Caenorhabditis elegans: one gene and its partners. The protein of the gene in region 1 interacts with the protein of each later gene in a pairwise test. Each region holds a gene or a part of one and is shown in the gene's direction. Other genes may lie near its edges.

Evidence for each region.
Region 2: the proteins of magu-1 (region 1) and unc-11 interact in a two-hybrid assay, tested with the Caenorhabditis elegans proteins (2 studies listed by BioGRID).
Region 3: the proteins of magu-1 (region 1) and ztf-2 interact in a two-hybrid assay, tested with the Caenorhabditis elegans proteins (2 studies listed by BioGRID).
Region 4: the proteins of magu-1 (region 1) and M57.1 interact in a two-hybrid assay, tested with the Caenorhabditis elegans proteins (2 studies listed by BioGRID).

The regions. Positions count from the first base shown.
Region 1 is NC_003281.10:468,690-473,578, reverse strand, and holds the start of magu-1 (MAGUK family), read left to right. Parts: upstream 1-1,876; 5' UTR 1,877-1,883; coding exon 1,884-1,962; intron 1,963-2,256; coding exon 2,257-2,567; intron 2,568-3,171; coding exon 3,172-3,384; intron 3,385-3,693; coding exon 3,694-3,774; intron 3,775-3,885; coding exon 3,886-4,072; intron 4,073-4,118; coding exon 4,119-4,216; intron 4,217-4,889. Other genes in the region: nemp-1 (Nuclear envelope integral membrane protein), read right to left, coding at 1-120, 182-348, 402-484, 834-916, 966-1,120, 1,168-1,246.
Region 2 is NC_003279.8:3,799,706-3,807,668, reverse strand, and holds the start of unc-11 (Phosphatidylinositol-binding clathrin assembly protein unc-11), read left to right. Parts: upstream 1-1,929; 5' UTR 1,930-1,964; coding exon 1,965-2,035; intron 2,036-2,171; coding exon 2,172-2,275; intron 2,276-2,576; coding exon 2,577-2,890; intron 2,891-3,377; coding exon 3,378-3,653; intron 3,654-4,165; coding exon 4,166-4,658; intron 4,659-5,714; coding exon 5,715-5,834; intron 5,835-6,698; coding exon 6,699-6,860; intron 6,861-7,389; coding exon 7,390-7,477; intron 7,478-7,636; coding exon 7,637-7,788; intron 7,789-7,963.
Region 3 is NC_003279.8:7,289,420-7,293,478, forward strand, and holds ztf-2 (Zinc finger protein ztf-2), read left to right. Parts: upstream 1-1,852; coding exon 1,853-2,258; intron 2,259-2,422; coding exon 2,423-2,752; intron 2,753-2,805; coding exon 2,806-3,152; 3' UTR 3,153-3,533; downstream 3,534-4,059. UniProt on the Caenorhabditis elegans protein: Transcription factor. Represses gene expression, probably via binding to DNA consensus sequence 5'-[AT][CT]TTCC[AC][AG]-3' in promoter regions. May play a role in pharynx morphogenesis.
Region 4 is NC_003282.8:3,531,676-3,539,576, forward strand, and holds M57.1 (SPK domain-containing protein), read left to right. Parts: upstream 1-1,965; 5' UTR 1,966-1,976; coding exon 1,977-2,119; intron 2,120-2,165; coding exon 2,166-2,279; intron 2,280-3,712; coding exon 3,713-3,982; intron 3,983-4,033; coding exon 4,034-4,147; intron 4,148-4,642; coding exon 4,643-4,903; intron 4,904-5,892; coding exon 5,893-6,006; intron 6,007-6,052; coding exon 6,053-6,758; intron 6,759-6,804; coding exon 6,805-7,017; intron 7,018-7,266; coding exon 7,267-7,329; 3' UTR 7,330-7,388; downstream 7,389-7,901. Other genes in the region: M57.2 (Geranylgeranyl transferase type-2 subunit alpha), read left to right, coding at 388-592.

The DNA.
Region 1 (4,889 bases):
GTATCCGATCACGTATTTTTGATATTCAATCATGATGCTTTGAAGATTTGACCAGGCGAAGTGAAGCATGTAAAGGGAGACTGACCAGCCACCAATGAGGATCGGAACTCCAATTGTTTTCTGAAAATTTGGAGTTTTTTGATGAATTTGCCAATATTTAGCAGAACCTAATTTCCCATACCTTCGGCGCAACACGCCACACAATAAATGCCACCAAGAGCAGTGAAGCGAGCAATCCGAAAGAACATCCACTGGTGTAGTAGAAGACGACATTTCTAACGAGCTTGCTGGCGAGCAAAAATAGCACGATTGCTCCGACGTAGACACCAACACGGAAATAGTTGACTTCTGGAAGAATTTGTTTAACGATTTTTTAAAAATAAATTCAATTTAATACTAACTCCAAATTAAAACCGATATTTCGTATGGTTCAGTTGTGGAGACGCCGACGATTGTGTCATTGAACGGATTTAACTGATGAGATCTGCAAAATTTAGTTTAATTGTTGGATTTTTCAGAATATTTTACAGCTAGAGTTGGGATACCCGAAAATCCGTGACTTTCTGCAAAATCTTCGATGAATTTACTAAAATCCTAGCAGAAACGCAAAAGTTTAATCGAATTTTAATTAAAATTAGACGGAAAATTCGGAATTATTGGCTTTCTTCTAACTTTGGGTCTGCTAAATATTTAGCATACCCAACTTTGGTGTGCTAAATATTTAGCAGACCAAAATTTCCACGTTTCTCTGTTGCACATTTCTATTTATCAGCGAAATCCAACAAATTTTTGCTGATTTATCATAAAATCTGTGTCTTTTTCGCGGTCCAAACCTCAAAAGTGCGGCTTTCCGTAAAATTCCGAAATAACGATTGTCATTATCGTAAAGCTGTTGAACAGTTGTGCAGTTTGTACCCTGAAACAACTCCATTTTATATTTTCGCAAGCATTTCCCGAGAACCTACCTGATAAAACTGATATTGATCCGCATTTGTCAGATTAGTCTGCAAAAAAACATCGGTAAACGCGTATATCGCGTTGTAAGGTAGTGCTTTCTGATAGAAAAAGTCGAGATTGTACGAGTAAAGCTTGGCGCCGACACGAAGGACCTGGTTTAGAGCTGAAAATTATTTTTTTTTTAATTTTGAAACTTTAAAAAAGTCTTACCTGCCGGTTTTTGCTCACAATCCTCGAATTTATAGGCCAAGCTACCCGCGACGAGTAGTGCGAGGGTCAGTAAGCGCATCTGCGCCGAATTTTTGCTGAAAATTCAGAAATATTTGTTGGAAAATTAGAAGATGGGGAGAAATTCAACCGAAATTCAGAGAAAAAACGTGAAAATTCACATGAAAATTCGAAATCTAGGTTTTCGCGCTGCCGGGTCCCGCCACGAAAGTATTCTGTGGACTCCTCGTGGACAACTTTCAGTTATTTTGTTTTGTTATCAATTTTTAGTTAATTTTCGAAAATTTCTGGAATTCGATTCCAAAATCAGAAAAGAATGATTGAAAAATTCGAAGAAAATCGAAAAAATTGTGAAATATCGAAGGAAAGTCGATATTTATGAACTAAACTTCGCCAAAAATTGATTTAAACTCGAAAAATTAACGATTACAATAAAAAAATGTCATAAATTTTAATTTAAATACGTTTTATCAAACCTGAAAAAATAAAATTTAAATTCAAATTTCCTTGCAACGACACTCCGCCGCACGCCTTGTTTAACCGAGCCCCTCTAAATTAAAAGGTTCCCCCTTTGTTTTACACTAAAGTGCTCATTTTTTCGCTTTCAATTGATTTTTTGACAGAAATTTCGTGTATTTTTACGAATTAGTGCTGAAATTTGAAGAAATTTGAAGAAAAAACCGAATTCCAGATCTCAAATGCCCGACAATTTATCGGCAATATTTGGAACAATACTGGATTATGCAGAGGAAGTAGCAGCGGGGACATCTAATGAGAGTACGTGTTTGAAAATCGAGAAATTGCAAGACATTGAGCAGATAAAAGAGATTCTTGGCGGAAGAATAATACAATTTCGGCGAAAATTAAAGGAATTTTGGTCTGCTAAATATTTCGCAGACCCAAATATAACTTTTTTTTTGAAAATACGGTTTTTAGAATTTTAAGTAGATAAATAAGCTAGTTTAAACATTTTTAATCTTAAAAAAATCAAGTTTTTTATGGTTTTTAAGCAAATTTTAGCTACTTTTGAAAAAAAAAGTGGCAATAAACACCAATTTACTGAAATTCCAGACGACGAAAGGCCTCCACGAACAAGTTTAACGAAAAAGCAACAAAAAGCCGTATCAATTCTGCGGAATTTCTCAACAAACGACCAGAAACAAGAGATCTCATTTCAAGAACTATCACAGAACGTTCTCGACGACTGGGACATTTCAAATATCAAATCTTCGTCGGTTCAGCAACTCGTTGAGCTCCTAAATTTGCCACGTGTACAGGGAGTATTATGGGCGGCGCAGGAAATTTCAGCCGGGCGGTTTGCTCCGCAGCTTCCAGACGTTCCGTTCGAAGTTGACGAGGATGATGGGGTCGCTGTGAAAATTGTGAGGATCGACGGTTTTTGTTCGGAAATTCTATTGAAATTTTCAAAATTTTGGAAAAATTGGCTAGTAAAATTGACAATTTTTTCAAATTTCCACTTTTATAAAATTCTATTGGTCTGCTAAAATTGGCTTGGGTCTGCTAAATATTTAGCACACCCAACTTTGGTCTGCTAAATATTTAGCAGACCCAACTTTGGTCTGCTAAATATTTAGCAGACCCAACTTTGGTCTGCTAAATATTTAGCATACCTAACTTGGGTCTGCTAAATATGGGCATTGGTCTGCTAAATATTTAGCATACCTAACTTGGGTCTGCTAAATATTGGCAATGGTCTGCTAAATATTTAGCAGACCCAACTTTGGTCTGCTAAATATTTAGCATACCCAACTTGGGTCTGCTAAATATTTAGCATACCTAACTTGGGTCTGCTAAATATTGGCATTGGTCTGCTAAATATTTAGCATACCCAACTTTGGTCTGCTAAATATTGGTTTGGGTCTGCTAAATATTTAGCATACCCAACTTTGGTCTGCTAAATATTTAACAGACCCAAAAATTTTATATTCCATTTCATTTTTCTAATTTTTTGTTTCAATTTTCCAGGTGCGAATAGTGCGACGTGGCGAACCCCTCGGTGCAACAATAAAATGCGAACGTGGCAAAGTATACGTGGCACGAATAATGGCGAACGGTGTGGCAGACCGTAGTGGATGTATTCAGGAAGGCGATCGAGTATTGGAGGTCAATGGGATTACTGTAGCGGATAAGGAGCCCAGGGAAATCGTGAAGCTGCTGGATAAATGTGATAATGGAATTGTTAGTGATTTTGTTTTAAAAAATTCGAAAAAACAACAATTTCCTAGCAGTTTATCACGAAAATCAGAGAAAATTTGTAAAAAATCACATATTCGTATCGTCTTGTATACCTGAAAATTGCTAAAAAATTCTGTATTTGTTAAAAAACATTGAAGATGGATTTATTATAATTTAAAAAAAAAACCTGAAATATCAGAAAAAATTTGCATTTTCTCAGTAATTTGTAACTTTTAGCCTGAACTAAAAAAGTTTTTAAGAAAATCTATAAAAATACACGTTTTTTCTCAAATTTCCAATATTATTTTTCAGATAACCTTCAAGCTGATCCCTGCAGAAATAAACCAGAAGTTAAAGCAGAAAAAGTCGTCACATCGGTATGCCCGAGCTTTGGTAAGTGGTTTTTTCTAGTTTTTCTCAGAATTTTAGTCCAAAATTCGCAAATTTTTCAATTTCCAAGTAGAAATTCCGTAAAAATAGCCTAGAATTCTTCCTAGTTTTCAGTTCGACTACGATCCATGGCAGGACAAACGTCATCCCTGCCCAGAAGCTGCAATTTCCTTCCGCGGCGGTGATATTCTAGAGATCCTCGACGAAAAGGACCAATATTGGTGGCAAACTCGAAAAATCGGATTCGGAGCACTGGCGAGGCGGAAAGAGAGTCATGATGACGAGAATCGAGATGATTCCAGTGAGAAAATTGCGCTCTGAAATTCCAAAAATAATGATTTTTTCAGAAAAAGTGGGTCTCGTACCGTCGGAATGGCTACAGTGTCAATCGGAAATTCCAGAAAATGGAATAGATACTTCAGATGATTTTCAGTCATTTTTAGAGGTATAATTTTGGAAAAAGGGTTTAAAAGTGACTTATGACTTCAGAAAAATGAGAAAATTTAATTTTAAAAAAATCTAATTCCACGTGGTTTTTATCCAGATAATTGGAATTTTGGAGATCCAGAAAATTCCACTTTTGCACTTTTTTTCAGAATTTTCTTTAAAAAGCGTAGTTTTTTTTTCAATTTAAACGCTATAAAATATTGGCAACACTAAAGTCCAATCGGATCCTTAAAAATTCAAAAAATCGAAAAAAAAAGTGGAATTTGAGTAAAAAATCTATTTTTTGCGAGTTTTTGAACATAAAAATGGATTTTTCGTTAATTTTTAGGTAAAAAATAAGAGAATTTTCAGTGGAAATTTAGCTAAAATGGCGATTTTTAACGTTCACGACTGAAAATTGTGGGGTTTTTAGCGCGAAAAATCGATTTTTTTGGGATTTTTTAGGTTAAAAATGGGAATTTTCAGTGAAATTTAAGTAAAAAATCAATTTTTTGCGAGTTTTTGAACAGAAAAATGGATTTTTCGTTACTTTTTAGGTAAAAAAAAGAGAAATTTTTTCATTTAAAAAAAAACCAATTACACGTGGTTTTTATCCAGATAATTGGAATTTTGGAAATCCAGAAAATTCCACTTTTGCACTTTTTTTCAGAATTTTCTTTAAAAAGTGTAGT
Region 2 (7,963 bases), on another chromosome or scaffold:
AATCAAAATACTCGTTGTTTTTGCGTGTTTCCCCCTCCCCCTCTAGATGGTGCCTACACAACATCCCATTGCTAAAAAGGAATTTTTTTTTTCTGTGACCACTATTTCTCTCCGAGTTTCTCTTATTTCTTTTTTTTGCAGTTTCTAGTTGTAATTTTCCTTTGTACCCTCTTTTCCCATTTGCACTGAATAAAATGTCTGATTAATTTAAGGACTTTATCAGCTTTTTTCTCATCTTATTGCGATAGGAATTAGGAACTGTTGGGGATTCAGTTCACTTTTAGGCTTCCTGGTAAATAATATAATACGGGAACTCAAAATTCTGAGAATGCGTACTGCGCAACATATTCGAAGCGTATAATATCTCGCAGCGAAAACCACAGTAATTCTTTAAATGAGTACTGTAGCGCTTGTGTCGATTTACGGGCTCGATTTTTAAAATAATTTATTTAACGATAAAATATCAAAATTAATGTAAGAAAAAAAAGAGAAAATATCACGAAGAAACGTAGGAAAAACGAGCCCCGTAAATCGACACAAGCGCTACAGTACTCATTCAAAGAATTACTGTAGTTTTCGCTACGAGATATTTTACGCGTCAAATATGTTGCGCAATACGCATTCTCAAAATTTTGTTTTCCCGTAATATCCAAGAATGCTGAATTTTCATAACAATAAAAATAAAAACTCATTGTCAATAGATCCAGTGTTTATTTATCTGTCTAACCGTCTAAAACTCTAACTTTTCAGTTGACTCTCGCTCGATAGGTATCATTTTCATTAAAATGTTAATGTTTATAGTATTCTTTCCATACAATTTATGTGCCAACCACCTCTTCTTTTTTGCATTGAATCCCCCGATGGCGTCATCCTTCTCGTCCTCACCATTTGGTGTGTCTGTGTCTCTCCGTCCTATCCACTATCTTTCATCCAGATTCCCGGTTTTCCCGAGAAAAAGTGAGAGAGAGAAGAGGCTACTGCGCGGCGACACTGGCTGCGGACACCCTCACTCCTCTACTTGTCTCCATCGATTTTCGCTGGTTCGTCGAAGCCTCGTCGCCAACACAACTTCTTCTTCTTTTTCGTCCTCTTCTTTTCTGCCACACGCTTGCACAGCTTCTTCTTCTCATTTTACGCTGTCTACTTTTTTCGGAGGGGCCATACCCCCACACACAGCTCCTTTTATTTGGCAGTTTTGGCATTTTTGAGGAAAAGTTCTGATAAAATGTATGAAATGACGTTTATTTTTGTGCTTTCCAGTTTAATCTTTTGTTGAACTTGATCGCAACATAAATTTATGTTTCGAAATCTCTCTCTCTTTTTTGGCAAATCCCTGCGGAAATGAGAAAAATTTGAAAAAGAATTGATGATTCAGAATTGGAATTTTTATTTGTATTTATTTTTTTGAAAAAAAAAACAATTTAACTTGCACTTTTATTCTTCAGAGCCAAAAAAGAAATGGCTCAAAAATAGAAAATGATCATTTTTAATCAATAATTGTAAATACCGTACTTCATCTGAAGGCGCAAGCGGTTAATTCATTCCTTGAGTCTCACCACGAATACCGTAGTTACATTTAAAGGCGCAGGCCTCGACGAGTGTTTGTAAGCGCTTTTTTTTAACTTTCAGAGATTTTATTTTTTCGTCATTTTTTCCAAAAACAAGGAAATCAATTCAGTTTTTGATTGAATATGTTTCGAAAAAAGAAAGAACTGTCAATCACACAAATTCACATCAATTTCCACTCGAAAAACGGCACAAAACGATGTGTTTGGAAATGTTCTTTGGCACAAAAATCAATAAAATTGCCAAACTCTTTTGTGATTGTGGTTCCTGCATCTCTCCGTTTCCCCCAATTTACCTGATCACTTTCACGTTCTTCCGTAACTGCTGACGCATTGAATGCACCTGATTTTGTTTGCTTACTGCAGGTAGACCGACGCCAACCCCCCTTGCTGCTCGACATGCAGACTATCGAGAAAGCGCTGCATCAACCGATGCCTTTCACAACCGGCGGGCAGACTATTTCAGACCGGTAAGCGATTTTTCTTTTCGATTTCTTGTTTTAAGTTCGAATTTTCAAGAACAAAATTGTTCTAAATTCAAAATAAAAGTGTATGTTTTCAAAAATTTCAAAAAATCAGTGTTAAAATGTATAAAATAATTTTCAGATTGACAGCTGCAAAGCACTCTTTGGCTGGAAGCCAACTTGGCAAGACAATATGCAAGGCGACTACCGAAGAAGTTATGGCCCCGAAGAAAAAGCATTTGGATTGTTAGTTCTTGATTTTTTTAAAGCAAAAATCTGAAATTCTGCATGTCACAGCTGTGGGAAAATTGATTTTTAATTAATTATTGTCCTGGTTTGAGTTTGTCGCTTAAATTTGCTGATTTTTCACTTAATTTTGTTGATTTAGCCACATTTAGAGCTAAATTTGGTTGCAAAATAAATCAAACATTATGTAAAATTCAATTTCCAGCAGCTGCAAAGTAGGCAATTAGGAAATTTTTCGCTGAAATTAGCTCTCGAAATTAGTTTTTTTTGCCACAGGTTGAGTATACGAATATAATTCCAGACCTCCTTCACTGCACAAATGAGCCAAATGTTTCGATTCCATCAATGGCCAATCTTCTAATCGAACGGACTCAAAATCCAAATTGGACCGTCGTTTACAAGGCTCTCATCACAATTCACAACATTATGTGCTACGGAAATGAGCGATTTTCGCAATATCTAGCCTCATGTAACACGACTTTCAATTTGACCGCGTTCGTGGATAAGGTTGGAGGCGCCGGCGGATATGATATGTCTACACATGTCAGACGGTACGCAAAGTACATTGGCGAGAAGATTAATACTTATCGAATGTGTGCATTTGATTTCTGCAAGGTATGTTGGAGAATATATTCTCTAAATTCAAAAAAAAAATTAAAAGCTAAGTAAATAAAGTAAATTTGTGGCTTTAAATGGCAGAATATAGATCGAATATAACTGTAAAAATTATAATTTTGCAAAAATTGAAAAAAAAAAAACGATAATTATTTTAATTTAAAATCTTGGTATTGCTTTTATTGTCAGTGTTTCAAAAAATTTTCCTTTAAAAATGTGAAATTATCGATTTTTAGGCCTTTTGATATTTTTCTTTCTGATAATATAGTTTTTATCAATTAAATTTGTCTGAAAATTTACAAGCTGTTTTTCATATCAAATTTTTTTTAAATCATGAAAACCCAATCAGCATTGCAAAAAACGCGGGAATTCAAAAAGATTTTTTGCAAACTTGAAAAAAATCATCAAAAATGTTATAAATTTTTTAACAGTTATTTAAAGCAATTTTTTTTTGACTCTACTAATTGACGAAATATGAAATTTTCAGGTGAAACGCGGTCGTGAAGATGGGCTTTTGCGTACAATGCACACTGACAAGTTGCTCAAAACAATTCCAATTCTTCAAAATCAAATCGATGCACTTTTGGAGTTTTCAGTGACCACTTCAGAGCTGAATAATGGAGTTATCAATTGCTCATTTATTCTTCTTTTCCGTGATTTGATTCGATTATTTGCTTGTTATAATGATGGAATTATTAATGTGCTTGAAAAGTACTTTGATATGAACAAGAAGCAGTGTCGTGATGCTTTGGATACTTATAAGGTAAAAAAATACTTTTTTTTTCAATTTAAAAAAAAAAAGAGGTCTTTGAAACTTAATTTTCCAAATTTTCAGACATTTTCAGCACAACAAGTTTACATAAACTTTGAATTTTCGAATTTTATGCAGATTTTAGTTTTTTTTTTGCGGGAAAAAGTTATGAAAATTTGATAAATGATTCTTAAATTCAATTATAAAAAATATATCCTGTTTGCGCGGGAATTAAAAAATAATTCAGATTTTTCTAATGTTTTTTTTCAAAATAAAAAAAATTGAACATTTCAGAAAGTTACAAAAAACCGATTTAATCGGAAAAATCGGTTAAAAATTTTTATGATATTTTTTTCAATTTTGTAAAATAAAATCTGGCTTTTTGATTTTTTAATTTTCGGATTTTATGCAGATTTTTTTTTTTTTTTCAATTTAAGAAGCTTCGATGTCAAAAATTAAGAAGAACACAAAAATATTAAAAATTTCATTTCCCTAAAAACTAATAATTTTCAAAAATTTTGCAGTCCTTCCTCACCCGACTCGACAAAGTTGCCGAATTCCTTCGCGTCGCCGAATCCGTCGGAATCGACCGTGGAGAGATTCCAGATTTGACACGTGCTCCAGCGAGTCTTCTCGAAGCACTTGAAGCTCATCTCATCCATCTCGAAGGAGGAAAAGCTCCACCACCAACTCAACAACATGTTGCACCACATCAATTCACCACTGGATTCGCATTTTCTCAACAACCACAACCGGCACTTGGTGACGCTGAACGACAACGGTATATTGAGTTGGAACAAGAGAGATTGAGACAGTTTGAAGATCAGAAGAAATCGATTAATTCTGCAAATCCATTCGCAAATGATGTCGCTTCGGCTGCACCTGCTCCAGCTACATCAGCTGCTCAGCCGGATCTTTTGGATATGTTCCAATCATCGGCAGCTCCAGCTCCTCAAACGGCTGATGTGACGAATCCATTTGGGAACTTTGCAGCTCCAAGTGCCTTCCCAACGAATGGTACGTTGAAATTTTCCGAAATTAAAGGAATTGGCCTCAGAAAAAGATCGAATTTCATAAGGAGACTTTTCAAAAAATTTAACAAAATTTTTTATGCCATAGGAAAATTGAAAAATTGAAAAAAAAATATTTTTTAAATAAAATTATGCTGGTTAAAAAAAAAACATAATTGTCTTCTAAAAAGAATAAAAATTGCCAAAATTTTAGACTACTTTACGATAAATTTTTTTTACGGTTTTCAGGGAAAATTGAAAAATTGAAGATCGAAAAATCCAAAAAAAAATTTAGAAACTTTTTTTAATAAAATTTTGTTCAAGTTACTTTGTAAAAACCATTTCAAAAACATCTATTTTTATTCTGAAAATATGAAAAATCGCCAAAATTTAAGATTTTTTCGAAAAAGTAGAAAAAAAATCGAAATATCGAAATTTTTTTCTCTCTCATATCGAATTTTTTTTCTCTCGTTCTTTTAAAAAAATGTTTCCAGAGAAAATCGAAAAAATGTTTTTAAAATTTACAAAACAATTTGTTTTTATAAAATTTTTTATGTTGATTTAAAAAAAAACAAAAAAAATCTGAAAAATCGAAAAATTTCCGATTTTCGTTTTTTTTTCAATTTTCTTCCTAATCATGCCAACTTTCATGTGCTTCTGCGGCCGGAAATTAATTTTTATTTGATTATTTCTCCATTTCGGTTACTTTTGTCACTTATCCTACGGTTTTTCCGTTAATTTAGCCTCATTTTAAGCCGATGGCTGCTAAATTTCGTTTAATGTACCTAAATCGATGAAAAATATGCAGAATAGGCTTGAAAAATCGGGGATTTTAGCTGAAATTAAGCTATTTTGAACAGTCATGAAAATAAATAATTTTTTGAAATGTCTCGTTATGAAATTCTTTTTTTTTGTTGGTAATTTTGAATATTTTTAAAAAATCAGAAAAAAATATTTCGCCTTAAAATTTAATTGCTTCACTAACATTTAACCCTTTGTTTCCACAATCTATGTTTCTCTCAAATCTTCCTTTGTTTTTTTTTTCATTTCACCTATGTTTTAGTGCCACCACCAGCAGCACACTCGGCTCCATTTGGAGTTCAACCAGCACCGCAACATTCAGCTGCACCATTCTATGCGAACCTTCATCAAGCTCCTCCAATGCAATCGCAAGCTCCAAATGGTGAGTTGTGGCGTTGTGTGTGTGTGTGTTGATTTGCATGTGTGGTTTTTTTTGCTTGGAAAATAATAATTTTTTAACTTAATAATTGGGGAAAAAAATAAAAAATTAATCGAAAAAATTATTAAAAATGCGCTGAAATATCGGTAAAAATAAGAAAAAAAGATTTTTAAAAAATCGGGGAAAGTCGAAAATATTTCCGAAAAATTAGAAAACGAAAATTGTCGTTTTTTCTATATTTTATAAAAAAAATATTATAGGCGGAATTTTTTTGTTGAAAATTGTAAATTGACACTTTAATAAATTTTGAAAAAAAAATTTTTTTTTACATAAAATTCAATTTTCGATATTTCTATATTTACCTAGGAATTTTTCAAAAATTAAAAAAAAATATCAAAAAATCGGATAATTCATTTATTTTTCCTCTAAAATACTCCAAAAAGTTGTTAAAAACTCGAAAGTTTTAGATTTTTTCAAATTAAACATTTAAATTTTCTCTTAAAAAAACGTATACTATAATATCAAAAATTGAAATTTTACGTTTTTCAATCTTTAAAAAAATATTTCCAATGTGCCTCTGAAAACGCCAAAAAACGTTTAAAAAATTATCTTTTCGATTTAAATTTTTTAGAAAAGCGCTTTTAAAAAATTCTAAAAACCGAAATTTTCGATTTTCAACCTCTAAACAAAAATTCTCAATTTATTTTTTTCCGGGATTTTTCAATTTTGGCTTCTTCTTTTAAAATAACTTTTAAAAAGCATGTTTTGGTGGTTCTGAATATTTTCTCCTCCGTCTTGACGTCGTCATCTTCTCGTTGTACCTCTGGAAATTAGAAATATACCAAATAGAAAGTGTGGCAATTTAAGAGCCCGAAAACCCATTTATAACTGCTCCCGCGGCACCACAAATGCACAATGCGCCGCCCGTCCCACCACCACCAGCATCTCAGGGGGCTCCAGCTCCTATCAATCCTTTTGCTGATCCTTCAGCTACTGCTGCTTCTTCAGCACAACCGTTTGGGGATCCAGGTGAATTAACTCACACTTACTTACCTTTCGATTTGTTGCTAAAAATACACGGCTTTCTTTTTTTATAACAAAAGGGAATTTTTTCTGAAATATACTAAAACTGGTCCGACGCGACCAAATTTAGCATCGAGACTTCTCCAAAAATTTATAAATTTACAGAAAAAAGAGCCAAGTTTCGTTAAAATTTGAAATTTCTCAGATTTGTTTCAGTCGTAGCAGCTGGAATACATTTTTATTGAAAAATCATCTTTCATCGCATGTTTTGGGAGTTTGAACCGTCCGAAATATGCAATAGAGGGAGATTTTTCATTTAAAAATTGTATTCCAGCCGAATGAAACGATTCTGGGAAATTTTAAATTTTAACGAGAAAAGTAAATTTTTGAGAAGTTTCAGTCTATTTCCGCAAAAAAAAACTCATTAACTCTACTTCAACATTAATACAGTTTTACAGTTTTTCATAACCACCCCACATTTCAGATGACTTCAAATTTGAACAAAAAAATGTAAAAATTAAAATATTAATTCCAGGTCATCAAGCTGCTCCATTCGGATATCCAAATGCTCATCCAGATGATCTTGCTCGAATGACTGCACAAATGTCATTGAATCAGCAGGGGTAGGATTATTTTTGTCAATTTTAATGCAATTTTTGTTGCAATTTTTTTCGTGACTCACGACACGAACGAACCACTAGGGCTAGATTATACATATTACCTTTTACAAAATTTCACAATTTCTAAAGAAAATCGAAAAATCTTGCCTAAAAATATCTTAGTTACAGAGCACCGGCCGGCTGGAATACCACAACTTCTGCCGTCTCAAACAATCCGTTTGGAGCAACGTCGGCTCCTCAGCCAATGTATACGGCTCCAATGGGAATGTATCAACAACCATTTGGTGCTCAGCCAATGTGGAATCCTGCGATGGGTTAGTTTATCGAAAAAACGAGGAATTTTTTTAAAATTAGAATCTCGGAACAATTGAATTTTTATCTAATTTTTCACAATATTTCAAGATTATTTTAAATGTGAAAATCGATTTTGAAGCATTTTTTGTTAATTTTTGCTTCATTTTCGAAATATGCTCATACACCTATTTTATA
Region 3 (4,059 bases), on another chromosome or scaffold:
GTCTGAAAATCTGGAAAAAAAAAGTATTTGCATCAATTGCCCTTTTGTTGCCATTCGTGAAACTTGCACACTCAGCAGCAAGTGATTCCTCCAGCCCACACGTTTTCGGCGCAAAAGTGTAAGTGATAAGAGCTTCAACTGGTACCTCCTGGAACCGAGGAGCTGACAGTGCTGCTCTTTTTGGCAGAAACTAGCGAATGAGCACAAATGCACTTTTACTTTATCTAGGTTACTATAACCGATGCTTCTTCTATTACCTTTACTTCCTCCATTTTACTCCTAAAAACTGCTTGTCATGTGTTTGAACTGTGCGGGGCCGCCTTGAGGTCCTTTCCGACCATTCTGTACCAGGTTGTTCCTATTTGGATTTCCTCGAAGAAGTTGAGGGCGCGAGAAAAAACCGAATGGCTGCAGGAGACGCCGCGGCGATGGTGGTGGTTACGCAAACTGTGCTTGAGCAAACATGTGCCTGAATTGAAAAAGAGAAGAAGACGATGACGATTAGGAACAAGAAGGCATTGAAGACGTTGAAGAAGGTCATCTTTGAAATTATGTTCAAATATGTTTTGGTTCTAGTTACCCTAGATTTCAAAAATACTTGAAGTACTCTAGAAACCCGAGTTGATATTTGTAAGGTTTATGTTAAACTCTACGTCATATTTTGAGTAACTGCCTACCGTAGTTTTTACACTTATTTGAAAAGAAAAAAGCACCTAGCTACTTTTGTAAGTTCATATTCATTTTAGGGCTAACTTACCTGTGCCTGGTAAAAGCCCACAAGACGTCTAGAATTACTATTGCAGTCTTTTCAAATACGTTCTTTTCTGGAATGGTTCTTGTTGCCCTGGATTTCAAAAATTCTCTAGAAATCCGAGTTGGCAATTTCATGCTCGGAAAGTGCACTTTTTTTCGAAAGATGATCGCTCTCAATAATTAACCTTCATAATACACATCATACTCTTCTTTTTTGCATTCACTTACAGTAAGCACTAGATATCTCGGAATACTCTAGTTGGGTTTGAAAATCTCCACGGTCCCTTTTCTATTTTTCTAGCCGTCCCCTATATCCACCTACAGTAGCCTTTGCGCCTGTACCTCTGCAGCACTATGCCTAACTGGGAGCAGGTGAGCCAATACCAAATAACTTTCCCAAAACTCTTTCTCCTCCCATCAACGGTCATCCGATCTCAATATGGCCACGTCATGCTCCAACTTCACGTACGCTTTGGCTCAAAACGAGTTCACTGACCGAACTGTTTGTCCAACCAAAACCTTGTGGCCGAGCGCAAGAAAGAGTTGTGTGTTGCTGATATTTTGTAAAAAGTAAACGTATCCTCTTCCTCCTACTGCTGTTGCTGTGAAAGTCAGTCAGCCCCGGAAGTGAACAGTTCGCTGATGCGACGACCTCCCACCCTTCGGCCTCCTCCTCTTTTTCCCCCAACAAAACTTGTGTCAACATACTGTGGTAGGAGCGAAAAGGTACCGCGCGCCCCATCCGCATTTTGCCATATCCATTCCTTCCCGAATCGGCGCTTGCTTCCTGGTGACCCTTCCCTTATCTTGGAGCAACTTTCACTTTTTCCACTTCTTATCTCCAATTCTCTCGTCTTTCTAGACAAAATAGATATCAGAATGTTCCTCCAGTTCCAAGTACATTGATACTTTTTCTTTCTCCAAATTTTCCCACACCTTCTTTTCATTACTTTTTCTCATTCGTGGTCTACTCTTTCTTATTTTTGATCTCGGTTCAATATTAGAATCTGCAAACTTAACAACTGAAAAAATAACATTTCTAAACTTACTATAACATTTCCACTTTTTAATTGCATTCTTTAAATTTCGTAAATTTAAGATGAATTGTGAATCGTTGCTCACTGCCCTTGACGTATCCACTCTACTCTCAACTCTTTCCTCACCTGAAAAAGAACATCGTCGTAAAAGACGACGTGGTGAAGTAGCCAATCCATCAAACACTCTTGATGCTCTTGTTGCTCGCAAAGCCGACGATCAACCATTTGAAAAGAGATATCTAAGTGAACAAGAAGCAATTGAAGGACCAGATGATGAGATTGAAATGAAAAAAATGGAATTGGATCCTGATGTATCTACACGCACCTGCTCTACCTGTGGTTACCAAGGAAAATGGGTGTCTGAGATGATTCGTCATAAGAGAGTTCATACCAGTGAAAGACCATTCAAGTGTCGTTATTGCTCCAGAACCAGCAAGTGGAAGGCTGACCTTATTCGACATGTTGCAAGTGAGTTCATATTACTTTTCTATTACTTTAGGTATTTGAATTCGCTTTAAACCTTTTGTAATTCTGTCAGATTTGAAGTTTGGCAGCTTAGAACAATTTTTGAAATGTAATCAATTAGCTTCTGCTATACCTGAAAATGTATTCTCCAACCTCAATAATTTCAGAAACTCATGGAATCCGTGTTGTCTCCAAATACAGCCGTTCGAAAGTCTTCGATGCCACCAACAGTTCAATGGATTCTTCGTGTTCTTCAGACTCTGATCGATGCATAATTTCTGAAAAGAGAACAGTGTTCTATCGTTGCCAATTGTGCTCATTTGAAGATGAAAGAGTATCTGTATTGAACAGTCATGTAAGCCATCTTCACAACACCTCCCCATGTGTTTGTCGATGTGGCGCTAAATTTGAAGATGTCCAAGGAGCACTTGCTCATTCCAATGGTCCATGCTCCCATGTTGATATGATTTACAACGTTATGCCAACTTATGAGAAAGGTAAACCATAATTTTAAATAGTTTAATTTCATGATTTAAATTCCTTTTTTCAGCATCTCCATTATCCCCGTGCAGAAGCGAATCCTCATCAGACAGCGGAATTCAGACAGATCCTGAAGAAGAAGCATCGATTATTACATCATCCCTACCAACTCCTCAACTTGGATCATCACCTCTTCTGTTGTCACCAACACTTCCAGTCACTCCATCTTTCCTTCCAGACATTCAATCAGCTCTGCTGAGCCTTCAGCCAAATCCATTAATGTCATTATACTTGGCATCTCTCCTACAATCTTCCTTGTTGAATAGTCCAACTATTCCAACATCTTTTCCACAAATCATCCCAACTACGATACTTACACCTTCTCAACAAGATGAGATGGTTGACGTTGAGATGTAATTCTTAAGATCTTGAATCCATAATCTCAAAATTTATAATTAAAACAATTTATCACTTCTTTACTTGAATATCTCAGGTTCATATACTCGAACCAATATATTTTCTGTTCTACTTAGCCAATCACGCACACAAACCCCAAAAAAACCCCAAATCTTAGGTATCTACTCACATACGAATCTCGTCTCAACTCTCAGCTTCCTGGTGAATTCATATTTTCTTTGCTAATTTTATTTTCCTTATCTGTTTCTACTATACGAGTCATGTTTCTATCACACATCCCTCCATATTTCTCTATCACATTTTTCACCGATTTCTCTTTTTTTCGGGATTGTTCTTATTTATATCGTTACGAATATTTGGAAATATACGCTTGTTTAAAAAAGTATTATCACCACTGCATAAACTCATATTTTAAGCGATATTATTGATTTGTATTTGCTCGGCATTTAGTGCCTCCTTTCTCCCACCTTTTGAGGTCTTCTCACCTTCCGCCCACCTTTTTGCCACCTGCTCCCCACCTTTTGTAAAAATATCACAATTATTCAACAAATACTCGAAATTCAGTCGCGTTTGCCACCTTTCTCCCACCTATTGTGGTCTAAAACAGCAGCGGCAGCGTTCTGGTGACACCAAAACATGTATTTGTGATTTACAACAAAAAATCTCGATAAATAATTTTGAAAACAATAATTCTTACATTTCAAAATCTGCCTACACCAGACCTGGGAAACGCTTATTTTTCCTACCTCATTACTGCCAGTTCACTAACTTGCTTCTTATCTGGCCTGCCTACATACCTTCTTTGTTCCTGTCACGTCCGATTTTCCTTGGTTCGTCTAATTTCTTATTTTATCTAATTTATAAAACTGAATGTTTTTCTACCCGTCGATCAAAGCATTTCAAACAC
Region 4 (7,901 bases), on another chromosome or scaffold:
GATACTTTTGTAAAAAATCGATATTTCCGCTGGGAAAATCGATAATTTTGGAAAAAAAAATTAAAAAATCAGCCGAAAATCCATAATTCATTAAAAATCGAAAAAATCAACTATAATTTTGAAGAAAAATCGATATTTCCGCCAGGGAAAATCTATCTTTTTTTACAAAAAAATTACTAATCTGCTGAAAAAAATCGATACCAATATGACCTTTTTTCTGGGGAAAAAACGGCAATTTGCCAAAAAAAAAATCAATATTTGAAACCCAGGTATTGTAATAGAAAATCGATAGTTTTGTGGAGAAATCAATTTTTTTCAGCATTAAAATCGGGTTTCCCCCAAAAATCAAAATTTTTCTGAAAAATCCCATAAATTTCAAATTTCCAGCCTCCCACCGAGCCCATGCCTATCCCATCTGACATTCTTCTCAATTGCCGGCACTCAAATCGCCTCTGTCTCCGCCGTGATGCCCTTCTTCCAGACAATTCCCTCTCTGGATCGTCTTGTCTTCTGTGAAACTCCGCTCGTTGAAAAAACCGAAGAACTTCGTGCTCAGCTCCCTGGAGTTCGTCTCATTCCGCACTGGTTGTGAAGACATTTTTCGGAATTTTTTTCACCTTTTTTTTTGTGATATTTCTTAATTATTACCTGTTCTTCTTATGTATTGTTGTGGACGGAACGTAAACCTGAACTTTATACAGACGTGACCTTTGGGTCATCATGAACTTATCGCGTAAGCGACCTCTCTTTATAATTCATTTACTTCTTACACTTCTTGTAATAAACTACTTCTCTCCTTGTCTCTCGCTCAATACACAACATGTATGTATGATACATTATCGATTTTTGATTTTTTCTATATAAATTTCAGTATTTTCTTTTGGTAAACTCTCCCTTTTGCAAAAAATGGCGAATTTTGCTTAATTTTCGTGCTTTTTCCACAAAAATCATGGAAATCGCTTAACATTTCGCGTTTCTGGTTCCCCGCAAGTGATTTTCCAATTTCGAAATTTTCACATTTTCCAGTCCCCGCTGAAAAAATGCGTATTTTCAGGTTTTCAGATCCCCGAAAATCACTATCCACAAAAATAATCAGAAACGTGGGCGGAGCTTCGCAGGCCACGCCCATGGAAATGTTTCGAAAAAAATCTGTAAGACTCAAAAATTCGGTTTTTCTAATTTCAAATTTTCAAACGGCTTTAAAGGCGCACAGAAATAGGCCATGCCCACAAAATGGGCAATTTTCGTTTCTTCTCAAAAATTTTTAAAAACTTGATTTTCTCCATTTTTCTAGTTTTAAATAGCGACTTTAAAGGCGCATAGAAATAGGCCACGTCCACAAAATATACATTTTCCAAAAAAATTCTGAAAAATTACACAAAATTCGGATCTTCTGATTCTAAAAGTTTGAACAGAGTTCCACAGAAATAGGCCACGCCCACAAAATTAACAATTTTTTTTCTTCACACAATGAGAGAGTGCAAAGAAAGAAGAGAGTACAGACAGAACGTGCAAAGTCGCTCTACGGATGATATGCGGGAAATTCAGAATGTTCATCGATTTGGTTACGACACTGTTCTTTTATTAATTAAATTTTAAAACGCGAAGAAAACCCCATTAACTCAGGATTTTTTTTTACAAAAACGATCAAAGTTTTGGTAGTTGAGTAGTATGCCTCATGACCCAAAAATATTTCCAGTACGTTTTCCATTAAAAGATTTTTCAAAAAAGTTAGTTTCCAGATTATAAACTAACAAATTTTAGGTAATTTTTTAAGCCGCTACATTTTTTCTAAAGAAATTTCATTATGAAATTCGGTGTTATCAGACAATTTCAAAAGTTATAAAGCAATAAAAAGGGGTCACATATATTTTTTTTTTTCGAAGTGGTTAAAATTTACGGGAAAGGTATACTACACAAGTATCAAAATGCCATACTGCTTTTCAATATTGTACTTTGTTTAAGTATCACAAAAGATGTACACTAATGACGAGCTCACGGAATTCATGGATTTCCTAGTGGAACAGACAAAGGATTCCATCTATCCATTGGTGGCAAAAAAAGTATTCAAAAAATTTCCCAATCGTCGTTTGATCCCGGAAGATAAGCGTTACCCAAGGTAAACAGACCTGGACTTGGCTTTTGTCATCAACTTTTTTGTTTAGATTTTGCTCACATTTTGCACCGAAAATGAACGAATTTAATAAGTACAGTATTGAGGAACGAATTCGATTGATGTATGCATTACGTGGAAAAGTTGAAGATGATTTTTTGACAAGGTGGGGAATAGTAATGGTGGTGAGAAAAATGAGGAGAGTGTGACCAAATATTATCGTAAAAAACTATTTTTTTCCAAATTTTATATAATTTTTTAAAATTCGGATACCGTATATTCTCTATTAGTGCGGCACCCCCATCGCTCACCTTTGACGTCATATGTCTTGATTGATTTTGAAGATATTAAGACCTTTTAAAACATTAAGCATAGAAGGAGTTTTAACAAACATTTCCGTAGTTAAAGACTTTTTACCAAAATCAAAGGTGACCGAGATATGAGCTGTCAAAGTTGAGTGGTGGGGTGCCGCACTAATAGAGAATATACGGTACTTTTCAATTTGCATCGAATTCTGAATTACCGCCAAAACTCCTATCGCAGCTTGATCTACAAAAAATGCGGGAATTTGTTCTACAGAAAATACAATTTTAAACTATGCGAAACCAATTTAGAAGTATGTGTCTAAATTCCTGCAATTCTCGGAGATCAGCCCAACATGGGACATTCTGACACCACGTGATTTTTTATTGATTTTTCAGGTTTTTTTTGTGTAATATTACTGGAAATTTTAGTGAGAAATTCAAGATAAATGTAAATTTTTTATTAGAAAGTATGCAAGCAAATCTGTGAAATCAATTTTTTTTCAGGATTGACGTCGCTCTTATTCCGACGCTTATAAAATAATTTACGTTTATCTTGAATTTTCTACTAAATTAGCAGTAAAATTACACAATAAACATGAAAAATTACACGAGGTGTCAGGTTGTCCCATTGCTCCACAGTACATGAAACACGGGGTTCTGGCCTTTCTCATTGAATTTTCGCGCTCCATTGACAATCGCCTGACGGACAACGCGTGGAAAAGTCGTGTACTCCACGCGGACAACAAACTTTAGTTTTACAACTAAAACGAGCCGCGACGCGACGCGACACGCAACGCGCCGTAAATCTACACAAAATCTCTCCGACCCAAAATGGCCTAGTTCGGCAACTTCTGCCATTTCGATTTATGAGGGAAGCCAGAATTCCGTGATGAAAGGCGGGAAAATATTTTTTGAAAATTTGTGACGTCCGTTACAGCGCATTTCGAATGTTTTTTAGAGCGATTTTTCAAATAACTTTAAATTTATTTGAAAAATTATAAAAAATGTCACGAAAATTTGCGCTCAAATTAAAAAATAATTACTCGAAATGCGCATCTTCAAATAATATTTTCCCGCCTTTAGTGTGCGATAGGACAGCCTGAAACCACAAGAAATCAGGCAAAAAAAAAGAATAATCTATCAATAAAAATGAAAATAATGCAAGCGCGTTCCATCAAACATCGAAATATAGGCAAATTGAGAATTTTCCAATTTTCAAAAAAATCATATAAAATTTAGAAAAAAAAAGTTGAATTTTTTACCTTTTCGATATAAAATCTGAAATAAATTACAGAATTCAAGCTCATGGAACTGTTGAGCTCAATGAAAAACATAGAATCTCAAAATTCATCTCGAATGACGGAACATTTTCCTTGGAAGATGATCGTGAACGTTTATCAATAGACACTACAGGACTCGAATTCGTCAGGCTCTTGGACTTCCTTATCGAAAAAACTAGAGATGTCATTGAACCATTGCTGGTGACAAAAAGAATTTTTCAAGAATTTAGCCGACTTGAGCCCGGTCCGAGGCATAAACATCCTGACAAAATGTATAATAGGAAGTGAGATAGGCATACCAATATAGTTTTTGTATTTAAATCATTTTATTTTAGATTTCGCTATAGTTTGGCACCAAATATGAATAAATATAGTGACTACAGTATTGAAGACCGGGTTCGATTATTCTTTGCGTTTGGTGGTGAGATCGAAGACGATTTTCTGAGGACGTAGGTTTTAAAAGATTTTTTAAACAGTGCATGATTTTTTGTGCACATCAAAAATTAAAAAAAAAACGGGTTTTACAAATTTTAAAACAAAATCGATAAATCATGGATTTTCGATATATTTGACCACTTTTTTGTTAAAAGTGGTGTAGTCAAACATTTTCTATTGCCTTATTATATTCAAAATTGTCTCAAACACACAAAATTTCATAATGAAACTTCTTCAAACATCTTTTAAAAAGTCACGGTGGCTCAAAAATGGCTTAAATTGACACCACGTGCCTTTTTGAAAAAGCTCAATAATTAACTAGTATACCCAAAAGTTTCCAGCCGCTTGACAAGTCTGTCAAATTTCACATTTTAACTAATTTTAGGTCATTTTTTGAGCCGCCAAATTTTTTTGGGAAGTTTCATTGTGGAAATTTGATGTTTTCAGACAATTTCGAGTTTAATAAAGTAACAATAGCCCCTTAAACTTCAAAAAACACTATTTTGCAGAATTGAAACCCATGGAACTGTCCAATTGGATGATAAGAGAAGAATCACAAAATATGTCTCCAACGACGGAAATTTCAAATTGGAAGGGATTCGTCGTCATATTATGTCAAAACCAGCTACAGGTCCCGAATACACGAGATTCATGGAGTTTCTTATCGAAACGACTAAAGATGCAGTTGAACCAATGAAGGTGCCCTTAGTATTGAAGGCATTCAAGCGCCAAGAAGGTCGCAAGTTTACAGAAAATGGATATGGTAGCAGGTTAGAAGTACTGTCTTTTGAATTAAAAACATGCTAACAAGGAAAGACTTTATATTCATTAACGGACTTCCATAAACCATAGTACTAGTTCTATTAAAAAGTGTTATTTGTGATCCCTCCGAAACTTTCAGCAGGTTTGGCAGAGCAAGTTGTGTGAAAAATTCCTTGATTCCAAATGCCGTATATTCTCTATTAGCGCTGCATCTCCAGCAGTACTGCAGTCTCTAATAGTGCTGCATTCAAAAAGGGCCTGGAAATTAGTGATACATGCAGCACTAATAGAGAATATACGGTATTTCTTTTGAAATTCCAGCCTCTTTAAAACTCCAACTTGTGAGTTGTTTAAAAAAGTACAAATCTTTAGCTTCAAATTCAGTAGCTCACTTCAATGGTTTTCTAAAGAATTATAAGCTGAAACTTATATATATATATATATCCATTTTTGTATATGTTTTTCATTTTTTCGAACAAATGAAACTATATTATCAACTTAAGAAACAAGTTTTTTGAAACTTTTGAAATGTTATCAAAGGTGGTGTAGGCAAATTTTTTTTATTGCTTGATTAGACTTGAAATTGTCTGAAAACACCGAATTTCATAGAGAAACTTTTTGAAAACTTCTCAAACAAAAAAATATGGCGTCTCAAAAATGACCTAAAATTAGTTAAAAATTTGAATTAGACCAACTTGATTTCGATGGGTCGATGAATCGCCAGATGTGATAAAATTTGGTAACTTCTGGTGGTTCATTAATTTTAAATATACCTAAATCAATTTGAAAACGCGAGAAAATAAAGTTAAATACCCAAAAGTAGAAGGTTACTTTTTTGTGGCCACTTAATTTTTTTGAGAAGTTTTCAAGAAGTTTCATTATGAAATTCGGTGTTTTCACTCAATTTTAAATATAATAAAACAAGAAAAACATTTTGACTACACCAAGTTGCAAATAATTTCTTTTTTGACAATTTCAAACAATTTGAAAATCCTAGATTTCACAAAAAGCTGGCACCAAATATGAGTAAATGGAGCAAATACAGAATCGAAGAGCGCACCCGAATGATGTTTGCAATGAAAGGCAAAGTTGAATCTGATTTTCTTGCTCAGTAAGTGTTGAATTTCCATATTCCATGCACTTGAATGAGTTTTCAGAATTGAAGCATCTGGCAAAGTCCAACTAGATAAAAACCAGCTAATTGTCAAATATACTTCAAATGATGGAGAGATTGAACTGGGAGGAGAGACGAGATTGGTTGAGAAGAAGAAGCGGAAATCTACAAATTACCACAAAATGCACCAAAAAAGACGCAAAATCATTCGGTCTGTCACGGATGAGACGAGTTTGGTTGCGAAATGGAAAAGAAAGTCGGACAGTTACTACGAAATGTACCAAAAGAGACGCAAAATCGGGGAGAAAGAGTTGTCTGACACGGCTGAGGTGGAAGAAGTAGCGCCATACGATGAGGCTCCCAATGAAGATCAAGATACCCAATTAAATCCATTTAATGCAATGAGTAATCTAACGACGAACGGTCCATCATCGAATGCACAGGAGTGGTCTAACGACGAGCCAAAGCAGGAGCCTGTATTCGAGGATATCTTCATTCAAAATCAACACTTTCCTTCAGAAATTGAAGATGTTCCAATTCAAGAAATTCGCCGTATTGAGCCAGACACCAAGCTTGCCTATTTGAACATAGGATCAAGTGTGCAAGGAGCTGTAATTACTGATTCTGGCGAGATCAAGCTTCATAAATTCTTGAATTCGTTAGAACTCATTCTTACTTCTCTCGAATCAGATACTCTAGATGATTTGTTAAACGATATTGAAGGGATTCGTGTTCGAATAAATGATGAGGTAGCTAGAACTTCAAATGTTGAAATAAATTCAGGACTTTTTTCAGATTCTTCCACCAGAGCTAGTGATCACTGCCTTGCAGACGTTCTTATTGGGAATCACTCGCAAGTCTCGATCCGCAGCGTCAGCAGAAAACAAATCATCACACGAGTGTCTGAGAATCTTCAAATATTCATTGCTTTGGCTCAGAAGCCCTTTGCTTTGGGAGATACAACAGAGGGTTGCGGAAGAAATTGAGAGTCACGTTATAGGAGAAAAGGTATGTTTCATTGAACATGTTGGTCTAGGGCTTTCATGTAGGCGTTAAACGCCTGCCTGCCTCACCTTCGTCTCAACCCGCGCCTTATACTTTTGATTATATCGAATTGATAAAATTGATAAAAGAAAATTAAACTTTTGTAAATTCACGTCAAAATACAAAAAAAAGGCAAAAGACCGAGGGGCAGGAATCAGGCTCTAAAACCGTGGAAGCCCTACGTTAGTCAAATAAACCCTAATTTATTTTCAGATTATCCTAGTCGCCGATGTTCAGCAAGGTATTCGGAACATTCTCTTTGCGGTTTCCAGCTAATTAACTTGAAACTTTTCATAAATATCTTATTTATTTTTTACATGAATAATCTTGCTCTACTTCACGAACTTCTATCTTGCACAAAAAATCAATAATTTAATCTTCTAGAAACTAGAAAGTATTCGTATCATTCATTCTTAAAATAAGTGTAGCTACACTTATTTTACATGTATTTAGTAATATATTATCGAAAAACACGATCTCACAATTTTCTCATAATTTATTTTTGATCTACCTTGTTGACTAGACTCCCTTCGACTAAAACAGCCACAACAAAATAACAACGACACCAAGATTGGGGCACACAAGATTGGGGCAAACAGGTAGATCAAAAATTAATTATGAGAAATTTGTGCGATCGTATTTTTTCGATAATATTGTTTTTGAGTCCAGGTCACAAAACGGTGCAGAATGAGATAGTGCAAAGAAAGAAGAGAGTACAGACAGAACGTGCAAAGACGCTCTACGGATGATATGCGGGAAATTCAGAATGTTCATCGATTCGGTTACGACAGGGTTCCTTTATTAATACCCAAAAAAGCCCATAACCTCAGAATTTTTTCTTTTTTTTT